Struthio camelus: one gene and its partner. The protein of the gene in region 2 interacts with the protein of the main gene of each other region in a biochemical or structural test. Links are inferred from orthologs where the notes say so. Each region holds a gene or a part of one and is shown on either strand. Other genes may lie near its edges.

Evidence for each region. The genes of interacting proteins can lie anywhere in the genome.
Region 1: the proteins of MAP3K2 (region 2) and SMYD3 are reported together in a solved structure, tested with the Homo sapiens proteins (2 studies listed by BioGRID and IntAct, with this or other methods). The link is inferred for Struthio camelus from reciprocal best matches to the Homo sapiens genes MAP3K2 and SMYD3.

Annotation. Positions count from the first base shown.
Region 1 is NC_090944.1:100,072,820-100,080,053, reverse strand, and holds the start of SMYD3 (histone-lysine N-methyltransferase SMYD3), read left to right. Parts: upstream 1-4,210; 5' UTR 4,211-4,277; coding exon 4,278-4,441; intron 4,442-7,234. UniProt on the Homo sapiens protein: Histone methyltransferase. Specifically methylates 'Lys-4' of histone H3, inducing di- and tri-methylation, but not monomethylation. Also methylates 'Lys-5' of histone H4.
Region 2 is NC_090947.1:29,829,727-29,837,436, forward strand, and holds the start of MAP3K2 (mitogen-activated protein kinase kinase kinase 2), read left to right. Parts: upstream 1-4,690; 5' UTR 4,691-4,826; intron 4,827-4,964; exon of another isoform or gene 4,965-5,060; intron 5,061-7,710. UniProt on the Homo sapiens protein: Component of a protein kinase signal transduction cascade. Regulates the JNK and ERK5 pathways by phosphorylating and activating MAP2K5 and MAP2K7. Plays a role in caveolae kiss-and-run dynamics.

The DNA of each region.
Region 1 (7,234 bases), on a different chromosome or scaffold from region 2:
AAATCCAAGTGAAATTAGGGGTAGCTGAGACGCAGCAAATGGAACAGTCAGTTACTCACAACGTTAAGCAAGACTTTTAACACTTTATGTAGTTGTTCCCATTCATAAGACACCAAACAGACCAACAGCTCTACCTATTTACATAAAACTTTATGTTTGTATAGAGTTTGGCATGATTCGTACATTTGAATAAGTCATAAGTTTTCCTTGCAGGATGGCTGCTCTTCACATTTTTCTACAGGATTGTTCTTGTCCTCGTCTCTTGGTTTATGGGATCTTATTTTTATAGTGATTGCAGATAAGTCTGATGTCATCACAACCCTTTGCTGCTCCCATATTTTCAGCTGCAGAGCGTAGTAGACATATACAACGGCTTTTATTTCTTTGCCACAGAATCCCATTCTGAACCTTAAGAGAAGCCATCAGCCAAACTGAGTCGGCAATGATTTTGCTTGATTTTTATGCATGCACTCTACAGATTGACTCAGGAATGTTTACCCATGTGTAAAAGCGCTGCTTAAATTGAAAACTCGGCTTCTAAAGAAAAGCAGGAAATAAATGCATAGTGCACTATGGGTGTAAGTTTTTTGGAAGTCTTTGCTAATAACATTCAATGCTTCCTGTGAGAAATTGTCTGTAGGAAAAAAAAATTAACTATTTGATTCATGCTTCCCTGTAAAGATGTGAGATTATCATTTTTGTGTAATTATGTCTCAGGCATTATTTTCATATAAAGTACACTTACAATTCTTGTCCTTCAGTTAAGAAATTATGCTGACCTCAGCTTCAAAAGCTTGTTCATGCCATCTGAAGAAAATGTATATGTTTGAGGCAGGGAGCAGTCAAGAAAGTTATAAAAACTAGAAAGTTTTTATAAAGCTCATAGTAAAAAAAAAAAAAGCCCAATAGGTAAAATCTGTCTGTGTATGAAATTTATTATGAATTTGTGCTCAAAATGCTTTTGCTTTTTTTTCTTCTTTTACATCTAGGAATCATTAATTTTTAATTAGCTCACCATGTTGAAGAGACTCTTACGAATTCATAAAAGATCCATCTGTGCTTATAAGCTTTCAACCAAAGCTATTTGATACGTACCCAATATCTTTAGTGATACAGGTTTTGTATAAGTTCGAAACCTTAAATTTTGTAATTAGATCCATGTTTTGTCCCCAAAAAATTCATTTCTATGTCCTGCTGGCTGGAATGAGTATTGGACATTTATGGCTAAAGAGCAGAATTTGTATAGGTGTGTGGGTTATTTCATTACCGCAATTCCTTTTTAAAATTCATGTTGTGGAACACAACTGTCTTGAGATAGAAGAGCTAAACTTTACAATGTCTCATCTAGAGGCAACAAGGAAATATGACTAATTCAGCAGCATCAGCTGCAATTAAGTGATAATTCCCACAAAAATGCCTCCATTACATGCCCTGACAGCTGTCTGTGCGCGGAATGATGTCATGCATGCTCCAGTAAGCATCAGGAAGTCTGACCTGTTTAGGTCAGTGGCTGACTCGATCATTTAAAACCCCGTAATAATAGCAAGGATTAATGAAACTAAATACGCTCAAGTGCCAATTGAACATTTATTGGGCCATATTAGTGAACATTTATAGACATCATATCACTACGGCTTGCTGCTTTTTAGAAAATTCAGACTGATGTTTCCCAAATTGCCTTGGTGAGGCATTCAGTTGTTCTCCATTGCTCAGAGAGGATGTTGCATGGCTTGACCTAAAGAAACTAGTCTATAAACCGTAGATGTAGATATCAAGAGATAGCTTTCAAGCCTCTTCTTACAGATGTTGAAATATCCAACACTGCATCAGCGAAAACATTTATGCTCTGCTTCAGAACTTATCTATACTAGAAAACCCTCTATTACTATAATTATAGGGTCTTATCAACATCAGCCAAAAGTTCTTTGCCTGCTGTAGTTTATATTACTGTCCAGCTTAGGCAGAGCTGATGAAAGCCCCCTTCTTTAGGGACAGCTGCTTTTACGCTTGGGTTTTTGGCAGAATAGCTGTCCTGGCTAAGGTTGCAATTTTTTTTTTTTTTTGGTGAAAGAAGGGCTTTATTTCCTTAGACCCATTTTTTTTACTTTGTGGGATTTTGTTTCTCTATTGGACACATGAAGTGAGAAAACTGGAATTTTCTTAGAAAATTGGGAAAATAATGAAATCTACATCCTGCATAGTGTATTTGTATTAGCCCTGTCCTGAGTGCCCTTTCTGCAGTTCTTATGTAGGACTTTCTGTTTTTGGCATATGTATATGTTTCTACTTACATTTTCTGCATATATTGTTTGACCACCCAAGAGGTAGCCATTAACTCTTGTTATTATTACGTTATGGGATTCCGGCAATGTATCTTTAGAAACTCTGTGACCACAAAACAGCATACGCTGCAAGACAGGAGACCTAACAGGGGAAGGAGTATAGCATATAAGCTGAATATAGAAGTGGTGGTTTAATATTTTAGTCTATTAGGGATAAATGTCACGTGTCTCACAGGATCATTGTAGTCAAATGCTATGTTTTCTGACAAGTCTGCTTGGAGGATTACAGTTAAGCATAGTAGTCCACTTAACTATTTAACAGAAAGCTAGATTGTTCTCAGTTCTTTTGTTAATGAATTACATCACTGCAGCATTTCAGAAAATGTCTAAATATATTATTCTGTGAGAATCCAGTGGCTTCATCTACCTTGGTTTTTCCCAATGGTAGTAGTCTTCCCAGCAGTATTTTCGATGTGCATATTTTCACTTTTGACTACCCTACTACAGCTGAAGGAAAGCAGTTGTAGATTAAAATAATTGTTCCTGAGAACAGAACTGAGTGTGTTTTAGCTTACATTGTAAGCTGCTCTGCAGGACTTCTACATCTGTCTTGCAATGTGCCCGTACTCCCTCTATTGGCATTATAAGGAAAATCAGACTAAGCCTATCCACCCGTTGAGAGCATTCAACCCCCATGACATACGCGATCTCTTAAATGAATGAAAGCTAGGAAGAATCAGACAGGAAGCACTCAGCATCTCCTGTGCTTTGGCCATTTCAGAGAGGTGCTCTTAGTTAGTTGTGTTTTGCTTTTCCCATCTCACTTATTTGGCATCTGTTACAGATGGGTCCAAATGACTTCCGGAATGCAGGTGGTGTGCAGCACTTGCTCCCCAGATAACCCGAAGGAGCTAGAACACAGCACAGGGCCATATCTAGCACTGCTTGCTTATAATCAGAGCACAGCGATATCCACAAATGGATCCAGAAGCCAACTCATAAGGCAAATGTCCTGTTTTGTGAGGGTATTTGGCAGAATCATTGCCCTAACTGTTCCTTTGTGAGCCAGCTGTTCAATACTTCAGTTACGCCAAGTAACGCGCAGCCAATGAACGGAAAAGCACCTAGTCTTCTACAGCGAGTGGGTGTATATCTGGTGAAGCCCCTGCCTAGGGGATCTGACTTCCCTAGGCTGTTTGAATGCAATCTTTGTGAAGAAGCGTGTCACTAGCAAACCTTGAAGGGGCGCCACAAAACGCGTACAATTTTTCCTACGCAGTGCACTGAAAGATGCAACGACCTGACTACGTTCAAGCACATGGAGGACAAAACAGAGGAGCGCTTCAGTTCCCCGCGACCCTCCTGGCAGGCTCCCCCTTTGCTGGCCTGGCAACTAGGCTGCAACTGGGCCCCAACTGGAGATCGCTGCCCCACGGCCCTGGGAGGTGCCCAACCAGGTCATTTCATTACTTCTACTCTGTATAAAATTGTAGAGTTCCCACTCTGTCTACGCTCATGTCATTTTTACTATTGTAATTTGTTTCCACCTCTGTGTCACTTGTTAAGGCTGGGTGACCACTAAAATGAAGCAAAAATAGTGCTGAATATGGCCAGCGCGGCACTTTAAACTTTATTATCACTTGAAGTTCTTTCTGAAGTCGGGCTGTTGAAGGCGTAAGATTTAAGTGCCAAAGGCCATTTTGTAGAATTTCCCATCTGTTTTTTTAACAGGATTGATGACCAGAAATGTTCTCTCTCACACGCTCTTTGAAAAGAACTGGAGAAAAATCAGCATCCTCCCTACCTGTAACTGCCCACCGCCGCTGCAGTTAGCGAGCTCCTCGCTCCGGCCAGGGCCGCAGGCCCCCACCCTAGTGCGGGGCGCCGCGGCTCTGCCTTGCGCTAAGATGGCGGCGGCGGCGCCGCGTCACGTGGCGGCGGGCGGGAAACGGCCGCGGCGCCGCTCGGCGGCAGCGCGGGAGGGAGGGAGGCGCGATGGAGACGGCGGCGCTGGAGAAGTTCCCGAGCCCGGGCAAGGGCAGCGGCCTCCGCTGCCTCAGGCGGGTGCGGCCCGGAGAGCTGCTCTACCGGGCCGAGCCCTTCGCCTACGTCGTCACCAAGGAGCAGCTGGGCGGCATCTGCGAGCGCTGCCTGCGCAGGTACCGGTCGGGGTCGGGGCCGGGGTGCGGCGGCCGCTTCTCCCCGGGGAGGGCGCCGCGCCGCCCCTTCCGCCGGGCACCGGGGGCAGGCGGCTGAGCGGCTGCGGCCGGGCTAACGGACGCCGCGTGCAACTCCGCCGTTTCCTGTTCCCCTGGACCCCGCCCCGTGCTGGGGGAGAGCCGCCGCTGCGTGAGGCGGCCGCACGCCGGCGTTTCCGCGCTGGTGACGGGAGGTGCCCGCTTGTTGTGGCCGAGTCCGTAAACCTGGTGGAAACGGCAGCCGCCCAGCGGCGTTTGGGCGGCGGGTCCGGGTCGGCGCTGCGGGCAGCGGTGCTCGGGACGGCCGGGCCGACGGCTCACGGCGGAAACGCACCGCCGCTGCGGGGCGCCTGCTGGCTGCGCCGGCCCCGTTTGAAGCGGCCCGCTGCGGCCCGGGTCAGGCCGCGAGGGTGGCGAGCGCCCCAGCCGTGTGGCGGCGCGGGTAACCCTCCCGCCCCTCCACCCCCTCCCTGTCCTGGCCGCCTGTAGCGATGGCGACCACGAGTTAGGCACCGGCAGCGTTTCTGAGGAAGAAGCAGCGTTGTTAGCCAGCCGGAGCTGTGCAGCGGTGCGGTGCCTGCAGGCCCCCCCCCCGCCCCCCGTTTTGGGGGCGGGGGGAGAGAAGGGGCGCAGATTAAAGCCACCCGCAGCCGAGAGCAGGCGCTGCCCCTGAAGGAGGTGCGCTGTGGGAGGTGGTCGAGTTTCCTGCCGGCGGGGTGTGCTGATGCGTTGTAAGGAACCACACGGTTTCGCGACCCGCATCGAATAAACACCTTTGTTCTTCCCCCAAATCCGAACAAGTGAAAGTGGAGAAACCCAAAGTAGCTTTCTGTGTTTATTAAAAAAAAAAAAAATCCTCAAACCCATGAGTGTCTATTTTCCACCTTTAACTAATTTTCTAGCAGGATTGATTGTCATAGCCCGGTTTGCAGCAGAATTTGGGATTATTTTTATATTCCCACCAGAGCCTAGTGTCATATCCTTACAGGGGTTCTCGGCTTCTATTTAAAGAAATAATGCTTATTTTCGAACCTTATTTTCTCTGGGAGGAGTTTGACAGCGTATGCCAGGTCACACTTGCATCTAACTTCAGCAGGTAAAAAGTAACAACAAAAAAGATCTTTAGCTAATCCTATATCTTAGAAGTCTGACTCTCGACTTCAGAGGGCTCTGGTGGTGGTGACTGGCTGTTCCCTTTCAGCTTCAACTAGTGAGAGATTGTAGAGGGCAGCATGGGTGCAGCAAAAGCTGGAATGAGAATGGTAGTTGCATTATAAGAAATATAACCAGGGCAAGGTTTGTTGGGAGACATAGTAGTTTTACCAACTGATAGGTTGTGAAAGGTTATGCATTTGAAAGTTTGTCCTTTTTTAATAATGATATCAAATTAAAAGTTAAATTAAGGAAATAAATTTTTTTCACCAGACTAGCTTCCATTGCAGAATGAATGAAATGTGTAGATCCACACATAGGGTTTTGTTTTGTTTTGTTTTTTTAAACTCTTAACATAAATTTAGAGAACTATACCTGCTGAAGTGGCAGCAGGTGGCAGTACAGGAACATAAATGCAAAACCAAGCCAAACTGGTCTTGTGCTTGAAATTGTTCTAGTGTTTTAGCAGCCTTATTAGATGCTAGTATTTGAGGTTTTCTATTACAAAATGCAATTCTGCGCTGATTTCTGTCTCCCAGTTTCTATTACCAAGTGTAGTAGGATGCAGCTTTTGGCTGTGTGAGACGCAAGAAGATTGGTTATGATGTGCAGAATCTTTTATTTCTGGATTGCGTGCTGAGAAGCAGAGTGGTCTAGACTGGATTTGGGGTCACAAACTTGCTTTACTGCTGACTTAACCTTGGTTGAGTCCTTCCAGTGTGGGTTTGAGATCTTGAAGCAGGGTAAGGAAGGCTGCTTGGTGGCAGACTTTGCTGCTGTGACTCAAGAGATGCTTGGCTAACACAGTAGTCCTCTGTGCAGCCATATCTAAAGTAAAGTGAATTACTGTGAATTTAAAGTGTTTCTATACATAGTTAGTACATCTACTTATAGAAATTCTAACATCCCTTCCTCATTGCGCTGTTGGCATCAGTTAAAGCTTTTGCTCGTTGTTGCTAAGGTATGTAGACCAGATGGTGGATTTTGGTAACTGTCTCTCCTTTTGTGCTTTCTTACTTTGGAGATAATTCTGTGTTTTCTGATGAATGTGTTCATGGTAGGTTTTTTATAGACGGCAAAAATTATCTGCTATAACTGATTTAATAATGATAGCAGGTAGTGTAGTTGTTTTGAATTATATCCCATTAGCAATTCAAAAATGTACTGTCCTGAAGTACGACACGTAGTCAAGGTTTGATCAGAAATATAATTTTTGATAAAGAACAACAGTGTTTGTAGTTGGCAGTTTGCGTTTCCATGGAGTAAACGTCCTGAGAGAAGACATGAGATTGTGTTGCATCATCTTACCCCCTTTGTAAAGAGGTATCTATAGTACTAGGAGGAGTACTCCAAATTTGCTGAAATCCTGCTGTTTGTGCTTTTGTGGAGTTATGGCAAGATCTGGATGGCCAGCATCTCTCCCCAACAAACTCATTGGGGAAAGCAACTTAAAAGATTTTCCCTCTTCTATTAACCAAAGATGCTCTATATAACTTTTCTCCATGCTTTAGTACCTCTTAAGGTGGATTCAGTGGCAGTTCAGCTCTAATGCAGATTTACATAACAGGGGGTTGAGTTCTGTAAGGAAAGCTTAATTTAATC
Region 2 (7,710 bases):
GAAACCAATGTGGTTCCACGAGGAGGAATTTTTATAAACTGTAACTACCATATGTTTTACAGATACCCTTTGTGCTGGGCACAATATTGATTATTCAGGGTATTTATTTATCGTCATATGAAGTCTGTGTTGTAAAAATCTTCAGTGTTGAAAGGTGAACAGTCATTGGCTGTGTTTGCTAAAGGGAGTATAGTCTGTGCAGTGCCAGTCTGCTGTGAGGTGCACGGTGTGCATGCAAATAATAAATATGAGACAACAGTTGCCTGTTATAAGCTTTTATGGCTATGTTTATTCTGAATGGTTGTGTAGAATATCCTGTATAATCTTCAAGAAAGCATTGTATGTGCCAGAATAGTGTAATTTCATACACTTCTAATCAGCATCTTCTAGTTTACTTTTGACATCTTGAATAGCTGACTTGCGTTAAATGGCTGAGTAATGCAGACATAAGGGTAATAATCTTATTAGCAAAGTCAACAGTGTCCATGTTCCGGACTACTGAATATGTCTGAGTCCTGAAGGTAAACGAGTTGCCTCATAAGCTTAGTTGATGGGGTTGGAGCAGCCAAACCTGGGCTGCTGCCCAGTCTCATTTACAGTGTACTTGTTCTAGAGAAGCAGTTCAATACCTGAATGACTACTGGTGGGTTTTTTTTTTTTTTTCCATACTTAGTTTTGTTTCAAGCATTAAGAGTTAAGTCAATAGCTGGCTACTTTTTATTTATTTTGTTCTGGTGCTAAACTTGCATGTCTGGGTGACAGGAAGGCATCCTGAAATGCGAAATACTATGTATGCCAGGAGATTCCAGACAGGGTGAGAAATACAGTTGCTAAGGGGGAGGAGGGAGCCTCTCATCAGAAAGATGAGGCTGTTTAAAAGAGCCGGGATAACAAACAGGATTTTTTTTCCTACGTAATTTCTTTTTACTATAACGATGGCTCTCAATTTTAAAGTGGACGTAGACAAAACTTCTCTAGGTGTTGTCTCTTAAAACAGTGTTTTTGGCTTCTTTGCTTATATTCCTATAGAAGTTCACATTTTTTCCTGCTCTGTGGTGATAAAGGCATTGGTTACTGTATCCCCTAACCATAGGTTTATGCCCTGTGTAGAGTCTACTTTTCACTTCAGATCTGTAAGTTTAAGGCTCTAGCTGGAAAGCTGCAGTGAATCTTGCAGCAGTGGCTTAGGACTGTACTCCTTCAAGCTGTTTGTTCTTCCTCTCTTTTGGCATCAGCCTCACAGGGATGGTGCATTTATATTAGGAGGAAGTGGAATTGCTGAGATGCAGGCATATGTTCACTTCTGTCATGGAAAGACAAAGGAGCCTAGCAGTCAGCTGGAGCCAGTAAGGGCCTCAACTGGTATTGTTGTTTACTCAGTACACATGGGCATGCGGTGTAAAATTTTTGTGCAGAGTATTAGCTCTCAAGCCTGTGAGCTAGGACTCTTGACCATGTTATAACATCCTGGCATCACAAACACTTTTAGGTTGTGAGCTCCCAAAAGAAGCAGTCTTGACTTTCCTTGTCCGTTCTAACCCCAGCAGATTGTTCCTGTGACAGTTCTTCCCCTTTTTGATTAAAAATACATGAAATTAATCCCTTATTTAACAAGATCTTTTTCTGGGTGAAATTCAAAACGTAACAGCATGAGGAAGCTAAAGGAAGGAGTGGTGGGGGGAGGCAAGAAGGAGGCAAAGAGACTTGGGGGGGGAAGGAAGGAGAGTGACATAGCCACTAAAATGAGCTGGTGTATGCCCATTTGAAGTGCTTGGAAGCTGTGGCTTTAGTGTTAACTAATACAGGCACTTGTTAGCCTCAAGCAATATCTCCAGAAGGTGAGAACCTCTTATTGCAATGAGGTATTGATTCTGGAATCTGGGGAGAGTCACACTGCCAAATCTCAGTCAATTACTTGCGTGGACTCTTCTAAGATGTGCTTACCCTATAATTTCTACCCCTGCTCCTCCAAGCTTCCATTGCCTGTGTAGGGCTTGTACTGAATGCATAAATAACTAATGTGTTTTATTGCAACTACAGTGTCATCTATTTTTATACTCTTTCATATCAGCATTTATACAGTTCCTATAAGCACTATTTTGCTCCAGTAGCATGACACACGATCTCAGAACCTTACCCTTGGGTTTGGGTTGAGCTCACTGTGAGCCAGTCATAAGTGCTGGTCCCTGATGTTGATGGATTTTTTTTTCCCCCTCTTAAAGTCAATATTTAGTTGTTTATCCTGCTCTTGATACTAAAGAAACTCTGTTTTAGGGATTATGCCAGGGTAATGCTGATGCCTGCCAGGATATGCCTGACCTCAGCAAAGCACTCTGGGGATGGAGCTCCTAATGCAGTCAGAGTGCTCTGTGCTATGAGGACTTTGTGCAGAAATATAAAGGAGCACGTGGGCAGAGGAAGAGGGCAAGTACGGATGATTTTCCAGAACCTCACTGGCTTCTTCTGTAGTAAAGGAATTCTGTCTTCAAAAGGTATTGCTCAGTAACCCTTCCTCCATCAGGGAAATCCATTTGCAAGATGCTAAAACTGACAAATAGCCATGGACTGGAACATTAAGGCGAGGGAAACACTGGATGTGTTTTCAAAGCTGTGTAAGCAGCTGTGGTTCATTGATCTGCTTGATGGTGCCGGAGCATCACACAAAGTCAGCGTTTCTCTTATCTCTTTCCCTATCATTTAGCACAAAAGGTCACCTTTGTAACTCCCTAGTTAAGACTCTTCCTCATGACAAGCATCTCGCAAACATGGCTGACAAAATTTTGCCTGCTGTGGAAAAAAGTGTCTTAGCTTTGAGGGACTGTTACATATTCCTCATGTTGGTTCTTGAGCTCTTATTAATCAACGTGATTCAGAGCCTTGTGCCTTTGATATACTTCATTAGGTGGTCTTTCTTCAGTACTGTCCTCTTTAATATATTTTTTAAGAAATGACAGTGTCTGTTTTTATCATCTGCAGCATATTTCAGTGGAGAAATCTCAAAATATTCATGTCGTGGGCCTTAATGCGTAATCTCTGGACTTCATATGGAGTTCCATTGGAAAGTTTACTTGTCTGGTTATGCAGCTTGGAGTCCTGTCTATGACTTGTCTACTTCGAGGAGTTTGCTGACATAATAATATAAGCCTAGAATGATAAATTATAATACATTATTATAGTAAGTATTAAGCTGGCAGTCAAGTCAGTTCTCCTGTGTGTGTCTAAGGTGGCCAAAAACCCTTGTCCGGGTAGATATTGAGGACGTGGCCAGGTTTTACAAACCTTTGATTGTCTTAAAGGAGAAATACTTCTGAGTGGGACGCCACATGGCCAGAAACTGCAGATGAGTGGCACCTCACTTGGGGTTACTGTGCTCTACAATCATGTGCAATAGTATAGACTACTGCTACTTTGTGTCGCAGTACCTACCTGCTACTTTCTGAACACGCATTCCCTACGAGCATGTTTCAGAAGAGCGTTTGCTAAGCGCGCCCAGACCGTCTGTATGCCTCATGCACAGTGGTTCGTGCCTGTAAGCTTTTTTTTTTTAAGCATATGCAAAAATAGTTACATGGCCATAGCACTATTTCCTGTCATCTGCTACTTAAACTTTGAATGTAGTTAGTAAAAGGTGTCCTGATAGGTCTTGGGAAGTGTTTGTTAAGACTGATTTAGGACAGCCTCCTCCTTGCTGGCATACAGAAATGTCCTCCTGAGGGAAGACTGTGGTTACTGTGGAGGACCAGTCTCTCCCTAAGTGCATATTGCACTAGGCCTGCACAGAGAGCTCACTGGAGGAGTAATTGGTGGAATAACTACGTTATTGTTGTCTTAGACTATAAAGGGCCGTGACTTTTTTTTTGTTGTTTGTTGAAAATCGATCATGGAGGAGACATTATCACCAGGCCAACTTTTGAATCTAGCCTTCTGACTGCAAATCTAAAAAGAGAGGAGAGCACCGAAAAGAAGAAGCAGTAGCCTGGGCACAACATAAAATTGTCTGACAAAAATTAAGCAGTACTATTAAGAATATAACTTTCAAGAGGGTGTATAAACACAATCCGTCGCTGCTTGCGGCGGGAACGGCAGCTTGTTTCTGTTAGGAAGCCGTGTCGGTAACGAAAGACTGTACGCGGAGTCTTGCTGCGACCGTTACCAGCAGCGCTGCGCGCTCTTGCGCCGGCTCGGCCGGGGAAGCCGGTTCAGGCCGCCCTCACCAGGCGTTAAGGGCTCCGCAGGCCCCGCGCGCCGCCGCGTGCGCACGCGCGGAGCTCGGCCCCCAACGGACGCAGGAGCTGGTGCGCATGCGCTCGGCACCCTTCCTGGTGCGGGCCCGCGTTTCCAGCCTCCCTTTCCTGCGCGTGCGCGGGGCCGGGCGCCGCTCGCCCGCCGCCCGTGCGCCGTGACGCCGGGCCGCGATGACGTGCGGCGCGGTCTGCCCCCGCGGCGGCGCCGGGCGGCGCGGCCTGCGTCACGGGTTTCGGCGGAGGGGGAGGCGGAGCTTTCGGTGGGCAGCAGGAGCGGCGGCGGCCGCGGGCGCCTCACGCCTGCAGGGACCCCCGCGGCGGCGGCGGTCGCGCCAGCGGCGGAGGGCGCCCCCCCCCCTCCACCCGCCTCCCGGCGCCGCTCGGTGCTCGCCTCCGTGCGCTGCCGGGCTCGGTGCGCGCCGTCACCCCCCGCCGTGCCCTCGCGCGGGCAGGCCCGGGCCCCTTCCCCCGCCGGGGGGTGGGCTCCGCTCCGGAAACCTGGCCGCTCCTTCCCGGCGCTGCGCCGGCCGCCGCCGGGCCCGCGGCCACCCCCGCTGCCGCCCGGCCTCCGCTGTGACACAGGTCGGTGCCTGGGGGGAGGGGGGGGGGGCGCGGGCGGCTCGGGGCGGCCCGAGGGGGAGCGGGCCCGGCGGCGCGGCCGGCCGCGGGGAGGCCGCCGGGAGGCGGCTCCAGCGCCCGGGAGGTGCCCGGCGGGCTGGCACAGGCCGCACCGAGGAGCGGCAGCGGAGTCCCCGCCCGCGCAGGTGGAGGACCGGGTACAGGTCCGAGGTGTCGGGGAGGGTGGACGCGTTAGAGGTATTTACGCTCCGACTGCCGGATCTTAAGGGTTTTATGAGCTGTATAAATATTTATAGGTGACCATAAGCGTCCCTGTAATCGCGCGCCGATACTGTGGGCTCTTAAATTGTTCCGCAGCGAGAGCGGTGCCGTGAGTTGGGTATGTGGGTCAGATGCTGCGCGGTGATTTTGTCGGGGGGAAAAGTGAACGTTAGGTGGCTCTTCCCTCCCCGCTTGTGAGGCGCCGCAGTACCCACGCGATTCTTCCCTGGCTTCCTCTCTTTCCTCGTTAGTATGGTTTTAATGGTTGGTTGTGGAACTATTGAAGATGAAAGCGTTAAATAAGCTGAATGTTTCTGGGCTATATGGTATCACTGAAATGTTCCTTGAAAGGATGGTAAAAGATAATGGAAGCCTGCCTTGAAGGAAGAGGGGTTTTATTGCATGCAGAAAACCTTTTTGAACTGTGAGATTTTTTTTCTTTAAACAGTGCAGCATGTTGCAGAGTACAAGAGGCCTTCCAAAATGTGTTCTTATGTATGTGGCAAAGGCTTAGTATTTGCAGAACGAATGTCTACATGCTTCTCTTGCAAAACATCTTGGAGTCCCTTGTGGCGTAGCACTTATTAGCAGAATACCCTAGAAAGTGTGCTTTCTCTTTCTTATGGGTTTCCTTTATGGATAGCTTTAAGGGAACAGGGAGTGATGAGTTAGTATATACGCTACATTGCAAAACTGAAAAGAATTTTCTTGTAATTTTTTTCCTGCTCTGAGATTAAATCCTTCACTGCCATTTGAAAATAACAGAAATACTGTAAGAGAAATTTTACTTTGATGTGTTATTTGTATTTGATGATGATGTTTTTTAAATAGCTCTTTCCTCCAAAATACAGTTACATTCATAAAAGAGAACTCATGATTCTTGCACTTTGTCTTATGACATAGTTGTTATTGAAACGTGTCGAACCTGATTATTGATTCAGGTAATGATGCTGTATGTAGTTCACTTGATTTTTTTTCAAAGAGTTTATTGTATTTTGATGAAGCAAAATAGTAAACTAGTATTTGTCATGCTGATTCTGCTGGAAAAAAATCTGAGTGCAGTCTGTCTTGATAAACTCAGTGTCAGTGGTTTGCATGGCACTAATGGAAGACTATGGTAAAGAAAACCTGTTTTTTGGATAGCCTGCTGAAATTTCTGAACTGTCAGAGGAAACTTTTTCTAAGATAGCTGTTGCAGTTGAGAACCTTGAGAGCTTGTATGGTATGTGTGAATAGGTAGATGTCTGCACAGGTAGGGAGAAATATGTAAAAATTTCCAACCTGTAGCATAACAGGAGTGTTGTTTTTTTCTCTGATGTTTAAAACTCTGGTTAGAGGAGAGCATACATAAACATATTTTTTCAGCTTTATGTTGATAAACCTCTAGATACTTTATGGTAAAAGTATCACATTTCACGTTTGGTCATAGTTTTGTCATTGGTTCTTTCATATCAGTCTTAGGAAAGATGGAAAATGTGTGGACTTACAGAATTTAAAGCTGATTGAGGTTAGATACAAAAGCCCGGTTTGTTTTATTGTAAGGATATAGTTTTCTTTTGGAGAAGGCAAGAAAATTAGTCATGTTATAAATCTAATTCAGATATGTAATTTAGGTTTTGTATTTTTTTCTTATTTTTTCCTCAATTGCTGTTGATATTTAGGTATAAGTTAGATTTAAAAAAAAAACAAACTTATCATTTATTGATAAAGGTTTATGGAGAATTTCTTGAAAAAGCTTTGTATAGTAGCAACGTAAGTTTCAGTTGCTAATTCTTTTTCATGTATATTATCTTCACTGCAGGCTGACTTTTTATATTACAAACTAAGTCAAAAGTAATGAATAACATGTAATTTATTGTTGTGACAGATTGTTCAGTGACTCTCTAACTGGAGCAGTCTTTGGACTGAGAGTAATGTCTGCTTGTAAAATACATCATGAGAGCAATAATGGAGTGACTTCTTCCATTAATTCACCCTCTCTCACCAAACACATAGCCAAAGGTGTTCTGATCTGTCAAGGTATGCGTAGTTTGTGTGGAGTAAAGACCAGACTTTGTTACAATTTCTTTTCAAATCTTTGCAGTTAATGCTATGCTCTTTATGTAGACTAGTATTTGGGAAAAAATCAGTAATGGAAATTGGTGTACCTGATCAGTGCAATTAATTACATCTTGTTACCTTTTGTAGAACTTGTTTTCATATATGTGATGAGCTAATGTAAATATGTATATAGACTAGTGACTCTACCTGGGCTTATCTAGTTAGCCAGTAGTTGCTTGCTGTCCTGAAAGCTTAATTTCTAAATTTTAACTTTTAATATTCTGAAAGAAGAACCCACAGGCTATTACCAAAAAAAAAAAAAACAACCCTCAAAGAGTTCTACTGATAACACTAATTTCTCTGTGGGGAAGGAGGGTTTGTTTTTAATGATAAGCACTGAATTTCCAATTATAAGATGCTGGAGTATTGTAGTGTTACAGAATAGGTCAAAGTAGGTCATGTATGTTATAATTGCATATAACTTGCAAAAAAGTATTGCAGGCATCATATAATTGGGCAGTGGGAAAGCATTCAGAATGTAGTGTGCTAGTTGTAATTCTTACTTCTGGGCCCTAGCATGAGATCT